Ovis aries: one gene and its partners. The protein of the gene in region 2 interacts with the protein of the main gene of each other region in a pairwise test. Links are inferred from orthologs where the notes say so. Each region holds a gene or a part of one and is shown on either strand. Other genes may lie near its edges.

The links. The genes of interacting proteins can lie anywhere in the genome.
Region 1: the proteins of TRIM21 (region 2) and UBE2I interact in a two-hybrid assay, tested with the Homo sapiens proteins (2 studies listed by BioGRID). The two-hybrid records come from large-scale screens. The link is inferred for Ovis aries from reciprocal best matches to the Homo sapiens genes TRIM21 and UBE2I.
Region 3: the proteins of TRIM21 (region 2) and TXN2 interact in binary tests that used the Homo sapiens proteins (3 or more experiments, as listed by UniProt). The two-hybrid records come from large-scale screens. The link is inferred for Ovis aries from reciprocal best matches to the Homo sapiens genes TRIM21 and TXN2.
Region 4: the proteins of TRIM21 (region 2) and GRAP interact in binary tests that used the Homo sapiens proteins (3 or more experiments, as listed by UniProt). The two-hybrid records come from large-scale screens. The link is inferred for Ovis aries from reciprocal best matches to the Homo sapiens genes TRIM21 and GRAP.

What each region holds. Positions count from the first base shown.
Region 1 is NC_056077.1:1,573,691-1,577,205, reverse strand, and holds part of UBE2I (SUMO-conjugating enzyme UBC9), read right to left. Parts: coding exon of another isoform or gene 3,348-3,515; exon of another isoform or gene 2,182-3,347; intron 1,093-2,181; coding exon 983-1,092; intron 894-982; coding exon 814-893; intron 1-813. UniProt on the Homo sapiens protein: Accepts the ubiquitin-like proteins SUMO1, SUMO2, SUMO3, SUMO4 and SUMO1P1/SUMO5 from the UBLE1A-UBLE1B E1 complex and catalyzes their covalent attachment to other proteins with the help of an E3 ligase such as RANBP2, CBX4 and ZNF451.
Region 2 is NC_056068.1:49,571,357-49,575,415, reverse strand, and holds the start of TRIM21 (E3 ubiquitin-protein ligase TRIM21), read right to left. Parts: upstream 2,803-4,059; 5' UTR 2,100-2,802; intron 2,063-2,099; exon of another isoform or gene 1,931-2,062; intron 1,435-1,930; 5' UTR 1,399-1,434; coding exon 991-1,398; intron 499-990; coding exon 403-498; intron 1-402. UniProt on the Homo sapiens protein: E3 ubiquitin-protein ligase whose activity is dependent on E2 enzymes, UBE2D1, UBE2D2, UBE2E1 and UBE2E2.
Region 3 is NC_056056.1:180,533,900-180,537,414, forward strand, and holds part of TXN2 (thioredoxin, mitochondrial), read right to left. Parts: intron 3,351-3,515; coding exon 3,227-3,350; intron 1-3,226.
Region 4 is NC_056064.1:33,955,605-33,959,119, reverse strand, and holds part of GRAP (GRB2-related adapter protein), read right to left. Parts: intron 2,900-3,515; coding exon 2,777-2,899; intron 1-2,776. UniProt on the Homo sapiens protein: Couples signals from receptor and cytoplasmic tyrosine kinases to the Ras signaling pathway. Plays a role in the inner ear and in hearing.

The DNA of each region.
Region 1 (3,515 bases), on a different chromosome or scaffold from region 2:
GGCTGGAGGCGAGCAGGCCGGGGGCTCAGGGACTGGACCTCTGCCCTGCTGGCAGGCACCGTGCTGCCCTTGGCCAGTACTGGGCCCAGCCCGGGGACCTGAGCCATTCTGGGGAAGTAACTTGGTGCTTCTCTTGGGGGACTCGGGCAGCTGGGGTGCTGGCCGTTCAGCGGGCCTGAGGACAGCCCCAGCCTCGGCTTCGCCCCCTCCCCATGCTCTCCAGGAAGGACAGGCCCTGGGTGCCAGGCCATCACGGCACCAGGGCTCCTTTCCCCAGCCCCCTCAGGGAAGGGTGGGGCCAGGGTGTCAGAGCCCCCAGCCTGGCTGAAGGCCCCGCCCAGGCCAGCCTGGGAAGGACAGAAGCGCCAGGTGTTAACGGCTGCTTCCCGACTCCATCACCCCAGCCTCCTCCCTCAGCGCCGACCCTGGACACAGGCCCCGAGGGACACGCAGCAAAGGGCTGGGCATGAAGCAGACGCCTGCCTTTGTACCCTACTGCCGCCCCCGCCCCCTGGAAAAGCACCAAGCCCCAGCGGGACAGGGAAGAGGGGCTGGGAGACCGGGGGCGGCAGCAAGGGCAAGGCGGGAGGCTGGGGTCCCTGGTTGAGTGGGCCACCGGTCACCCCTCCTCCAGGGCCCACACCCAGAGGAACGTTCCCCCTGAGCTGGATCAGGGCTCAGACAAAGCGGTCAGCCCCCGAGTGCCGCCTCCTGACACCCCGTCACCCACTCCCCTGCCCGCCAGGGGCGGCCTAGACTGGCCTTCAGGGAGGCCAAGGAGAGGGCGCAGCGAGTGAGTGGGTCACTACTGACCAGTAGATCGTGTAGGCCTCTGCTTGAGCTGGGTCTTGGATATTTGGTTCGTTTAGAAGTTCCTGTATTCCTAATAAGATCTGCACGAGAGAAAACACAGCGGTGGGAAGGGCAGGCTCTCTGGCCGTGGGCTGGGCCCACTGGGGGGTGGGGTGGGGTGGGCACGTACCTGCTTGATGGTGATGGCTGGCCGCCAGTCCTTGTCCTCCTCCAGGATGGACAGGCACACCGTGCCCGAGGGGTACACGTTTGGGTGGAACAGCGGCGGTTCAAACTTGCCTGGAGCACAGGGAGGGAGGAGACGTTTCTGGAGGCAGGTGTCCCCTGCACAGGGCCCACCGCTTCCCTGGCGCCCCTCCCCCACACCAGGTGGGAAAAACTAACCGGCCCCAGGGAGGCGGCGGGGGGAAGCGAGCAGGCCACCGGACAGGCCCAGAAGGCAGGCCCTGCTGTGAGGGGGTGGGGTGGGGTGGCATCAGAGCACCGCGCCCTGGGCGGGACCCCTGCCCCAGGGCCTCCCAGTGGCCTGGCTCAGGAAGAAGGCAAAGAGTCCCTGCAGCGGGAGGCGAGAGGCCGGGGATGGGGGGGCACCGGGCAGAAATGCAAGGGCCCTTCCCCACCAGCGGCCATTTTCAAATTCATCCTGCTTCAAAACCAGAGGCTTTTAGGACCACAGGCTCTTTCTTCAAGAACAAAAAACATAGTTCGCCTTCTTTAAGGAAAAAGATACACATACAAAATTGGAAAAGCCTGCCACCCTGAGCCCCACCGCGGACCGTTCACTCACCTGCTGCTTTGGCCAGTTTTCCTCACCTGGACACTTTCCCCTCTGTCTAAACACGCCACACCCGGAAGAGGGCAGCAAGCGCAGCAGTGTGGTTGACGAGTTACCAAAGGTGAGCACACCCGCTTGTCCAACAGCTCTGAGAAACCTGCCCCCGCCTGGGCTCAGCCCACCCCACTACCACGCAGGCCTCGCTGGCAGGCCTGGGCGCTGGCCTACGAACACCAGGGCACAGCTCAGCCACTATGAATGGAGCCACAAGGCCTCCTCAGCGTGAAACTGCCACTTGAGCAGATGCTGCTGGTTCGCACGGCGGCTGCATCAATTCACACGCTGCCAGTGGGTCTTCAGGCTCCCAGGCTTTCCGACCGTGCCAGCCCGGTGGTGCCCGCCGGCCATGGTGCTGATGTGCGGCCCGCCATGCCTGGTCAGGGCTGCTCCTCTGGGAAGCTCTTCCTCGATCTCTGGCACGTCGTTCTTGCTGGCTTGCAGACGCTCTTTGTATACAAACACGCAGGATACAGGCCCACGGTCAGGTGTCTGTCCGCCACTTCGAGTCCGTCTCTTTGCTCCTTTAGTCGTGCTTTTTGGTAGATGTCGCTTCCCATCTTTAACTGAACCTGAGGCAGCGATCTTGCTTCTCGTGCAAAGACGCTGGCCTAGCACCAGGACCCCAAGCCCCGCCGTGACCTTACCCCGCCTCACGGGCATGGCTGACCCCAACTGAACATGGTCAGCGCCTCCCGTCTCCGGCACGTGCGGGCCCTCCTTCCCTCTGCGCAGACTGACCTCTGCCCACTGTGCAGACTCAAGGGCTGCCCCAGGTCTCTCTGGGCTTCTGCTGGGCTCCTCAGGGAGCACCAGTCCAGGGACAGGCGTCACGTGCAGCCTCAGGAGGCCTGCCGAGCGCTCTCCAGGGAGCACTCAGGGCCGCTGGGCTGCCCCCCACAGTGTCCACGAGGAGCTGGGTGCCCTCCCGGGCCACCGGCCAGCTGGAGAGCCTCTTCCGCGAAGGGCTGTCCGAGCTGACGGCTGCTTGCTTCTCCTCACCAGCGTGCGGGGGCTCCGGCGAATGTGAGGAAAGAACTGATGACAGACACATCCATCCCTCCTCCTCACGCACACTGCCCCGGGGGAGGGCACAGTCCTGACTCCAGGGCCGCCCAGCTCATCGCTTTCCCCCTGGTATTTCCAGTTAAGGGCTCTCGTCCACCAACATGAGGGAGGCTGTCTCCCCAGCAGCTCCTCTTCCTCTGGGCGCCAGGATCCCCGGGAGTGCCCGTCCCTCTTCTCCCACCCGCCCCCCACCCCAACCAATCGTACGCGGCTGGCCTCTGCTCCGCAGGCCTGCGCCCCTGTCAGGGTGGGCTCCCACCTGACGAGCCCCGGCCTGGGCCTCAGGACCCCCCGGCCCCAGCCAGAGTGCCAAGGCCGGGGCTACTGTCAGCACTTGCCTCCCCCGCGTTTCAGCCCGGGCAGCAGCTGACAGAAGTCTGCCTGATCACACTGGACCCGCAAGCAGAGCCGAGGGCAGGGGCGGCCCCCGCGCCCCCGCGCCCCCGCGCCGCACACGCTCGTCCTGCCAGGGCTTGAGGCGGCCCGGGTCCTTGCCGAGGCCTCTTTTTTTGGCCACACTGCAGGGCTTGTGGGATCTTAGTCCCCCAACCAGGGACTGAACCCCTGCCTGCAGTGGTGAAAGCGTGGAGTCCTAACCGCTGGACCGCCAGGGAATTCCCTTTAAAATTATTTTCTATGTTTTTTTCCAGCAGTGAGGCCTTACATCGGTTGGATTTACCCAGTGGTATTTGATGCGTGTAGTATACTTTAGAAGATGCCATCTCTGGTAATCACAGGAAAATAGACTTTTGTGAACTGCTCTTTCATTCAGCAGCCTTAGACTTGGAGAAATACTGGCTGT
Region 2 (4,059 bases):
GAGCCACTAGGGAAGCCCATCTTAGGCCTTTATGGTTCACTTAAATCTGGTTCTCATAGTCACTGTCATTTCTTGACAACTTGTCATTTCTTGACATTGGGCATCTCTCCTGGCATTCCCCTGTCCCAAACTCTGAGGCCATCTCCAGAGACTGGGCTGTCATCTCCAGAGACTGGGCTCAAGAAGCAGGAGCATTAGAATATATCTTGTCCCTCAGCACCTTTTCCTAAGACTCTCTCTCCATCTGACTGGGAGCTCTTTTTGATCTCCACACTCTTTTAATCCCCTCCATCAAGAGACCTATGGGGCAGCTGGTTCTTGGGGAGTGAGATATAGGGACTGGCATAGCTGGACCCTCCCCAGGCTTCAGATCTAAGATTCCCTTCAGGATATGACTCTTGCCTTAAAGGATGCTTTCTTCATTGCAATGTCCAATTCCAGCTTCTCAGCCATCTCCTGCTTATCTCTTAGTTTCTTTAGTGCCACCTGAAGCTTTTCCTGCAGAGAACGAAAGCAAGATGATACCCAGTCAGGTCAAGAAGTAGGGTGCAGTGGTGTGAAGTGGGGGGAAGATCATACTGGTTCTTAGAAGAGGCTGAGTGCAGAGGACAAGGAAGGACTAGAGTCTGTTTGGGGTAGGAACTCTGTGGATGGGAAGGTTTTGGAAAAAGCCTGATATTTCTTACAAAATAGGGCCACACGGTTGGTGTACAAAGGGTGGGGGCACTGCTTGTTCCTAATTAAGCAGGAGGCCACAAGGGAAGAAGATTCTTGAAGCATTTTCCCATAGCACATCCCTGCTCTGTGAGAATGAGAAAACTGTGCTGAGCTTGCCATTTCCCCCTTAAATAAGACATAGAAGGCAGGAGACCCCTATTCTTTCCCCAGCCCCACAGGTAACTCTCTCCCATTTCCAGCTCTGGGGAACAAAGCCATCAACAGGGCCCCATCTCCTTTTTACCTGTTCCTGCCTCTGTGCTGAGGACTCACCTGGTACTCCTGAGCAGCCTCCTCAATAGGGACCATGGGATGATCACGGTGTTTCTGGGACTGGGAACACACCCAGCAAAGGGCCTTCCCATCTGCCTCACAGAAGAGGTGAATTTTCTCTCTGTGCACCACACACAGCTCCCCGTGTGGGCCCTCCTTGGCACCCTGGCTGATTTTCCTAAGGTTGTCCACCATGTTGGCTACCTGTCGATTGGGCCGGAGATTCTGGAGCAGGAAGTGGCGCCGGCACACAGGACAGACGCTACCTCCTTCTTTCCCGACCTCAGAGATGCACTCCTGGCAGAAGCTATGACCACATTCAATGCTCATAGGCTCCACCATGGGATCCAGGCAGATAGAGCACGTGACCTCCTCCCACATCATTGTCAAGGGTACGGCTGAAGCCATTGGGGTGATGCTCCTCTTCGGTAGTGCTGGGGAGATCTTGCGGTGAGGGGAGAAGAGGAAAGGGACGGAAGAGAAGAGCCAGGTAAGAAAAGGGAACCACGAGAGAGGGTGAACTGGAGGGAGTGAAAACAAGAAAAGACAAGGACCTCAACCTGAATAGTGCTCCTCTTCCATAGTCTGGGTCACTGATCCAGTCAGACAGAAGGGGACACTGAGTCCCCAAGAGATAGCAAATATTGTTGAGAACCTGAGAGACAGCTGCTTACAATTCGACTTTCATCATGTTCATCTCTGCTTAACCGCTCAGAGTCCAGGCTTTACCTATTGATCTTCTGCCTCAGGCCACTGGTTTTCTACTCTGTTGAGAAGCTAATCTTAACAGTAGCGACCATTGACTGTGCTCGTTCCATGTGCCAGGTGCTACATGCTTCACATACATTCTCATTAATCTTTGCAATAGGCAGGAGTTATTGGTATCTATCTAATCATCGGTAACATGAATATATATAAGAATATTTATATTTATGCTTACATATTTTCATAAGGATACACGTATATCCGTAAGTACATGGGCTTCCTAGGTGGTGCAAGTGGCAAAGAATCCACCTGCTAATGCAGGAGACACAGGAGACAGCAGGTTTGATCCCTGAGTTGGGAAGATCCCCTGGGGAAGGAAATGGCAACCCACTTCAGTATCTTACCTGGGAAATCCCGTGGACAGAGGAGCCTGGCGGCCTACATACAGTCCATGGGGTCGCAAAGAGTCAGACACGACTGAGCACACACACACACGCATATGTATATGTGTGTATATATGTATGTGCATACACACAGAAGCGTGAGGTTTATTAAGAACTTCCTGGGCTCTTCTCTCAGCTACCCTGAACCTGGCCCCGCCTTTGTTTCTTCTAGGGCGCAGACCCATAGTTTTCTAATATCCTAAGCAACCCTGTCTCTCTCACCTCCAGAGGGAGCCTTTTGGGGACAGCAGTCTCAGGGATCGCGGACCTACCCCCACACCGGGCTCCCGGACCACCCCTGAGCTAGGTTGCCATCCTGGTTCTCCCAGTTTCCCTGGTTTTTCTTCCCAGCTCAGGTGCCGGCGGAAGCAGAGCAATCCGAGCTCCTTCCAGGGGACATCCCAGTCAGGTTTACAGCCCAGCCTCCTCCCAGGCTGCAGGGGAAAAACTGCTGGGTTAAGGTTGAGGGAGACCTGTTGCGAAAGAAAACCTGAGATCGAAATCTCTAGGGGTGGGGACGGCTTGGATGAGGCACTTCAGACCTGGGGCAGGGGAGAGAGGTCCCCTAGGGAGAGCTGGGGTACCTCGGTCTAGCCAAGTTCACTCACCTTTTCAAGAGACGCAGTGGATGGCAGCCGTTTCCTTATTTCACTTTCGATTCCTTGTCCACCGCAAATCTGAAAGGGAGGCGGGCAGAGCGGGAGGAGAGTGGGCGGGGCCAAGGGAGGAGGAAGGCGGAGGGGTTGAGGTGCCGCCAGAGTCTGGAGCTTCTGGGAGGCTGGGGCGAGCGAAAGCTCCGCAGCCTTTAGTCCTTGCTTTGCGTTCCCTCCCGTGTCCTCATTGTGTAATAGAGTGAAGCATCGTATCTGCTGCGTGGAGGAGCCATGCAGGCCTACGTGCTGTGCCCTCGTGTGGGAGCTGCTTTAAAGGAGGTTTGGATGGACAGGGGTGCCTGGAGGTCTCCTCTAAAGGCCATCTTCTGTTCCCTATTTCCAAAAACAATTCCTTTTCAGGAGACTTGATATTCTTTTAACATCAGGGGGAGAGCAATTTATTCCACAGTACCTCAGCGCATTATCACACCAGTGAGTGGTAAGAAGGGACTTGACATTTATTGAGGCAACAACTGTGTACTTATCCTTGAGCCAGGGACTTTCTCAGGTTGTTTTATTATTATTTTAAATTATGGTGAAGTACGTATAACATTTACCATCTTAACCGTTTTCAAGTGTGTAGTTCAGTGGCATTAAATACGTTCACAGTTGTATACTTCACCACAGTCCATGGAGTCTCAAAGGGTCGGACACAACTGAGCCACTAAGCACAAGAACGGAGAAGGCAAGGGCACCCCACTCCAGGACTCTTGCCTGGAAAATACGAGGGACAGAGGAATCTGGAAGGCTGCAGTCCATGGGGTCGCTGAGGGTCGGACACGACTGAGCGACTTCTTTCACTTTTCACTTTCATGCATCAGAGAAGGAAATGGCAACCCACTCCAGTGTTCTTGCCAGGAGAATCCCAGGGGCAGCTTGATGGGCTGCTGTCTATGGGGTCGCACAGAGTCGGACACGAGTGAAGCGACTTAGCAGCAGCAGCAGCAGCAGCAAGCACAAGAAACCTCAAAGAGCCAGGGAGTAGTGGCAAATTCCTATTTATAAGAATCAGAGTTTTTACTCTGGTGGAAGAACTTCTTTCTTTACTAGACCCTTAGAACAAGGCTGAGCCCTGTGTTGGGGGATGGAAAGAAAATGATCTGTAAATGAGTTACTAGTTTGAGGGAAATAGGAGCTGCAACCACCTCCCTTCTTTATTCTCTGAAGAGTGTGTTTATAATGGCTATAAAAAATACCATCACCTATTAGTTGTTGATCTTAGATGTGCACCAGAATTTATGGTACAACATTCTTATATCATAGAGTGG
Region 3 (3,515 bases), on a different chromosome or scaffold from region 2:
TCCACTGAGCCACCAGGGAAGCCCAGTGGCTGGAGTACTGTGTGATTTCCAGTAATGCTGAAATACTATGATTCAATGAACTGTCTGTGAGGTTATGGTGGTGGCGGTGGTGTAGTCGCTAAGTTGCATCCGACTCTTGTGACCCCGTGGACTGTAGCCTGCCAGGCCTCTCTGCCAATGGGGTTCTCCAGGCAAGAATACTAGAGTGGGTTGCCATTTCCTTCTCCACTGTGAGGTTATATGGACCATTAAAAAAATTTCAAACAAAAAACCCAAACAAGGTACCCCAAATGTTGGCAGTGATTTGTTTGGATGGTAAGATTACTGCTATTTGGTTGTTCTGAAAATGCTGTTTAAAGGGCATTCTCTGTAAGATGAGATAAATAATGAAACTCCATGTGTGAGGTGAACATCAGAAGCCCCAGAGGACAGTATTAAGGGTCAAGGTCCACAGCCTGAGCCACTCTTTCTCTGCGGGGTCTGAACAATCGGGGAATGCCCAGCCAGAGAACCTGAGGAGGTGGGGAAGAAGAGGGCCCTTCACTTGGCCAACTCAGGGCAGTGTGTGTGTGGTGGGGGGAGGCACACCCCAAGGCCCTGGGCGACCTTCCCTCCTCTCTCCTTTGGGAGATGGTGAAATTCTAGGGTGGATAGTTAATGGAAACATAGAGTGTGGTGGCAAGGGAGAGGAATTTGTGCAAAGAAGGAGACACACCCTGAGAATGTGTGCTGGGCTTGGGAGTGGCAGAAGAGTTTGGGGAGAAGCCCCTAATTCCCTGAATATGATTTAAAGCAGCTTCTCCAAGTTCATTCACCATTTGGAAAAGGCCTTCAGGCCTTGGAGCAAGCTGTCCCAGGAGGAGCTATGGATCCCTTAGCTGACATGTCCTCACACTCTCTTCCGAAACACCAGGTGTGAAGGAAGGAAGGAAGGAAGGAAGAGGGTAGGGGAAGGGTCAGGAAGAATCCCTGCGGGAGCTTCCTTAGCCAACAATAACCTGGCAACTGGTCAGCTCAGGACCTGGCAAGACCAAAAGGCTGTGTCCAGGTGACCTGGGCCCAGCAGTCTTGAGGTCCCTCTGTATGACCCATGTACTCTCTGGACAGTGGACAGACAGAGAAGACCCTACAAGAGAACCTCTCCCCTGCCACACACTTCCAGGCTTAACCACAGGACTTCAGGGCCAGGCCCGATGTCACCAGGAACACAGACTCCTGGCAATCCCAGCAAGGTGGTCCTGGGAATTCTTACCACCCGTGTGACCACAGCTGGAGGAAGTGGGTTATCCCTGGTATCCTTATAGTTACCACAGCTCCTGGGGCATGGTTGGTGCTTGGGATGTGTTAGCCTAAGTTCCACTGGCTGAGACCAAAGCTGTGGTATCCGGAGGGAGGGAGCCTAAGACATGTGGAGTCTGTCCGTCCTCCTGGGGTGGCCAGAAGCTCCAGCCCTGAACTCACACCGGAAGGCCATACCCACGCCCACAGCTCCCGCGGGTCTCTGGGGAGGGATGGACAAGCAACAAAGTCAGGGGGCCCTAAATGGCCAGACCAGTGCCTCCCTGACTGAGCGGCCAGTGGGACAGCTGAGCCCTGTAAGCCGCTCTGGTCACCCAGTGCTGTGGGCAGTCTTACTGGGGTAACATCCCCCCAACCACCTGCAGTCATCATCTGTGGCTTTACCTGCCCAGCATCTCTTGCCCTTGCCTCTGGTCAGGGCAGCCCGGCTTTCCTCGAGGGACCACTCCTAGCCCCAGGTCTAGGGGCAGCCAGTCTATTCTCACCCTGCCCCTACCCATTTCCTGCCACAGGGACTGTGGTGGACAGGCATCTCTACTTGACTTGGTCTCAAGGGAATCAAACATGGACTTCCAAAGTCTGAGAAAGGGAGAGGCCACCTCTTTCATCACTACTACCAGGAAAGAGTGAAGGTTCACTATGGCCAGAACCCGATATTTCAGAGAACCAGAAATACGGATTTTCGCATGAAATCTTCTCAGTTTTAAATATTAGCATCCAGTCCATTACTGAAAAAAAAAAAAAACACCACTTCGAGGACCAGCCCAGTCAAGTCACTGAGCCAGATGTGACCCTGGCTCTGTAATGACTGTCTTCAGCATGGCTATTCAGGGTCCTCCCAATGCGGCCACAGTCGGCCTTCCCAGCTGCCTGTTTGCTCACTCAGGGTCTTTGTAAAAGATATCTGCTCTGCCAGAATCCACTTCTAAAGAGCTGCATCGTTCATTCTTTACCCCTTCCAGGTCTCTGCTCAGATGGTGCTTTTCAGTGAGGCCTTCCCTACCCAACCCTTTAAAAAAAGGAAACCCTCCCTGCCCTAGGCCCAGCACTCCCACCTGCTATTCCTGATTTCTTTTTTCCCAGGACACTTATTATCTGAAACAGGGAACAGTGACCTGTGGCCCACAAGTCTAACCCTGGAATTTTGTAAATGAAGTTTTGCTGGCACATGGCCGTGCCCATTCATGTAGATTCTATGGTTACCCTCGAGCTACAAGACAGGCGAGCATTTGCAACAGAGACCGGTGTCCTACAAAGCCTCAAACAGGTACCATCTTGTCCTTTAGAGAACAAGTTTGTGGACGCCCAATCTAAAACACTAGCACTCAGGCTCCACGAAGGCAGGGACTCTGTTAGTTCTGTTCACTGCCGCATCCTCAGCCCCGAGTCACAGCCCTGGCATTGAAGGCACTCTGGATACATGTCTGCTGAAGAAATGGACAAGTCAATCAAACACGGGAGAGCAGCTCATGTCTTCGTGTCTGTGTGCTCTTGGCCCTGCCTTCTTCACAGCTCTGCTCAGAGGGTCCCTCTAACGTGACACATTCCTTGTCCCCTCTACTCCCCTCCCTGCTCCCCTTGGGACAAGGAGCTCATCTTGTTTGTGCCAGCATCATGTACGCCTGGCACACTGCAGGGACGGATAGATGAATCCATGAATGAGGAAGGGCCATCAACTTCCTGAGACTCAGAGAAAAACCTGGTGTTTGGGATCATACATCCCAGTTCCTAAAGGTATTGAAGAGAGACAGAAGGCTCAGAAGATTAATGGAGTCACAGCTGCAAAGTTCTAAACCCCTGAGAGTTCTAGAAAGAATCAGGACACCCCCTTACTGACTCCCTGCTGGTCCCTAAGACATTTCCAGCTACCCCGTGACCCCAAGCACCCCCACCAGCTGCCCTGTAGCAATCCCCTGCCGATCCATACCTCATACTCTAGGGCGAGGTCTGTGTGATCATCGATATCCACTTTGGCCATCACCACCTTTCCATGCTGCTTGGCCACCACCTTCTCTAACCGGGGCCCCAGGATCTTGCAGGGACCACACCACCTTGGAAGGGAAGAAAGAAGCATCCCATCACAAAAGTGCTCGCCCAATGATCTATAGTCCTCTGGGACCTTCCCTCATCCTACGTCTCTCTGCTGGACCCTCTCCCCTGGTTACCTCTCCCTACAGTGTGTGAATGTTAACCTGCAATGCTGACATGCCGGTTAA
Region 4 (3,515 bases), on a different chromosome or scaffold from region 2:
CAGATTCCCTGAGTCTATTTCCTGCTCTGAGGTCTGCCTGGTGGTCCTCCAAGGGCCCTGAAAGGCCGCCTGACAGAGCATGGACCAGAATAGGGGCAGGATCCAGGATCCTGGCCTGGGGGATGCAACTGAGGCTGGAGGGCGCCACCTTGTGGTGCTGTGTACACACCACAACCCGGGCACCCAGGGTTCTGGCTCTGAGCTAGGGGAGAGGGCTTGGGCAGGATGCCTGGGGTGGAGCAGAGGGGACAGTGTGTGTGCGGGGATTTCTCTGAGGGACACTCCAGGCCCCTTTCCCAGACGGCACTGGTGCTGGCTCCCTAAAACTGTTCATCCCCCTCCTGCTCAGACAGACAAACTGCTCTCCAAGCCCGCCTTCTCTGCCCCACCCCTGGTCTTCACACTTGCTGTTCCCTGGGCCTGGCATCCCCTGTCCTTTTTGTGCACCAAACTCCTACTCATGCCTCAGGGCCCAGCTCAGATGTCATCTCCTCCAGCCTGTGGAATGTCTGCTGCCATCGAACTTCCCTCGATCAGGCATCGTGGAGGCCCCAGTCCCTCACTCTCTGAGGGACTCCTCCCCTGTCCTACACACACACACCCCAAAGGTTGAGCTGGCTGGCCTGACCCCGTGGCTGGGGTGGCGGGTCTGCATGCCCAGGGAGGCTCCAGGAGAGGGCAGGGTGCCAGGGCACCCACGGCAGAAGTTCAGGCCATGGGATCCACTCTCAGGGGAGAGGGAGGCAGGTAGAAGCTCAGTTCAGGCTGCAGATGTGGCCAAAGAAGGCCCCTGTGCCCTCCTTTGCGGTGACCTTGGAGCTGATTCCTGGAGCGAGGCCAGACCAGCCCGCCTGGCGGGCGCCTCTCCCAGGAGATACTGGGCCCTGGGAGCTGGCACAGGGAAAACTGCCACTTCCTGTTCCTCGGGGGACCCACTGGCCTCAGGGGCTGGGCTGTGGAGGGAGGGGCAAGCCAGGGGGCTCCAGACGCTCAGGGACAAGAACTGGGGTCTCACCACCCCTGAGGCTCAGAGAGGAGGAGAGCCCTTGCCTTGGATCAGGAGCTCAGCCTGTTCCCAGGGGAAACGGAAGTGATAAAAGCCAAGACTGGTGACAAAGCCTGGAGAGGGGCGGGTGAGGGCTGTGACCCCTGATGGGGGACCACCATCCCCAGCAGCCCTCCTGACCCCGACTAGGAGAAGCCCACTTGCTGGGCTCCAGTGTGCCAACCACACACCACCACAAGCTCTGTACAGAACAGATAGGAAAGGCCTCCCTTGGGGCACATTTCTGCAAGCAGGAGCCTCATGGCTGGCCTGCTGGGAGACATGAGCTCTTCCCTCCTCTGAGCCTGGTGCCCCATCAGAAGCCATCAAAGCCATCAACATAGGTGTGTTTATCCATTGGAAAATCAGCCAGCCATTGGCTGTGACACATCCAAGTTCTAGAAGACTGGTGCCATCCAGCACACTGAGGCCACACTGCCCACAGCCACCCACCCATCCCATCCAGCTACGTGCCCAGTGCCCTCAGCAACCCTGATGGTGGTATTATTGGTGGTCCCAGTTCACGGGCACATGGCACCTCCCTGACCCTCCAGCCCCATCCCAGTGCTAATACCAGAGGCTCCGCCTGGCTCTTTCCAGGCCCCCCCTTGATCCCAGCCATCCTCCTCCTCGGTAGCCCAAGGGATCCACTTCCTTCCCCTAGTGGGGATGCTCCGTGGGGGCCTGTTGTTCTGGGGGAACCCGCCCCCTGGTTGGGACCTATCAGGCCATTCTCTCTGGATTTGACACCCCTCCCCCCACTGGCTTTGCCCAGTCACCCCAGGGGCTTTCCATTTGCTGTTCCCTCTGCCTGGAAGCTCTCCTCCCAGTCCTCACTCCCGAGGCCCCGGACAGCCTGCACCGCAGCTGCAGATCTCTGCTCAAACCTGAGGCCATCAGCCCCTGCCACCTGGCTCCTGCTGTGTTCGTTTCTCTCCTTGTTCAAGGTCTGTCTCCCCGACTAAGACACAAACCCTGAAGGACAGCAACTTTGTTTTTTCCCTGTTGCTTCCTGAGTCCCTGACGCTGCCCGGCACACTGCACACAACTCAGCGACTAGTCCTTGAATTGCTGCTCCCACATCCCCCTGTTTCAGGTGCAGAAGAGGCAGGACAGAGACAAGCAGGGCCCGACCCCCTCCCCGGTTCCTGCCCCTCCTTCCACCTGGACTCCTTATTGCCCCATTGTGACTTCTGGTTTCAGGTTCTGCTCTGCCCAGAGGCTGCTACCCTGCTTCAGTGGCAGCCACTGTTCTAACGGCTCTCGATAGAATGACTCATTTGCTCCTCGCAATAACTCATTTTACACGTGAGGAAACAGGTACAGAGAGGTTAAGTGACATGCCCAAAGTCACACAGACAGGAAACGGCTGAGCTGGAACGTGAACCTAAGCGCTCTGGCCCCAGGGTCCATCCTCTTGACTGCGTAGCACAAGGGGGACCCTGTTCAGAGCACACCCTGGACACCTACCCTGGGGGGCCTGCTGCTCTCCCCCTGCAGCCTTGTCATATCAGCTTCCCCTGGTGACTTGCTGCTCATGGAAAAATGGCTGACACTTTGGCCTGGCATGGGAGGACTCCCAGTCAGCCTCCAATCCTCACTGCCCAGGGCCACTCCCTGCAGTCACCTCACACCCAGACGATCATTTGCTTCCAGGGGTCTGTCGTTCCCTCCCCGCTCCAAGGGCCTGTCCTTGCCCACCCTCCTCCGCGTATTCGGGTCAGAACTCACTTCACAGAGACAGAGAACTCCCCTGGGGAGCTCTCGCTCTCCCGGATCAGGAAGGCTCCTGGGTGGTTTCGCTTCCTCAGAATCTCTTCCGCCAGCTGCCGGGAGATCCGGCCCGAGTACCACCTGCAGAGAGGGCAACGTGAGGGCAGGGGCCGGCCACCCTGCCCAGTGCCGGGCACCCATCACAGCCAGGTCCTCCCAGCAGTCCTGGACACAGGAGGTGCGACTGCACCCACTTTACAGACTATCAACCTAAGGCCCGGAGAGGCAGAAGTCATGTACCCAAGGTCACAGATGGTGGCAGACAGGAGCTGTACTTAGTCCCAGCATTCTGCCTCCCGAGCACAAACCTTTGCCAACACACCAAACAAACACACGGGGCTTCCCAGGTGGCGCTAGTAGTAAAGAACCCACCTGCCAATGCTGGAGACGCAAGAGTCTCGGGTTCGATCCCTGGGTTGGGAAGATCCCCTGGAGGAGGGCATGGCAACCCACTCCAGTATTCTCACCTGGAGAATCCCAGGGCTTAGCAAGCTACAGTTCACGGGGTCACAAAGAGTCAGACACAACTGAGTGACTTAACATGAGCACAGACTCAGGCAAACACACACCTCAGTGAACTCTGACCCAGCCACCCTGACCTGGGCTTTTACATTTCCTATTGTAGGTTCTTAAAAGTGAAAAAATATTTTAAAGATGACCAGAGAGAAACGGGTTTCCCTGGTGGCTCAGATGGTAA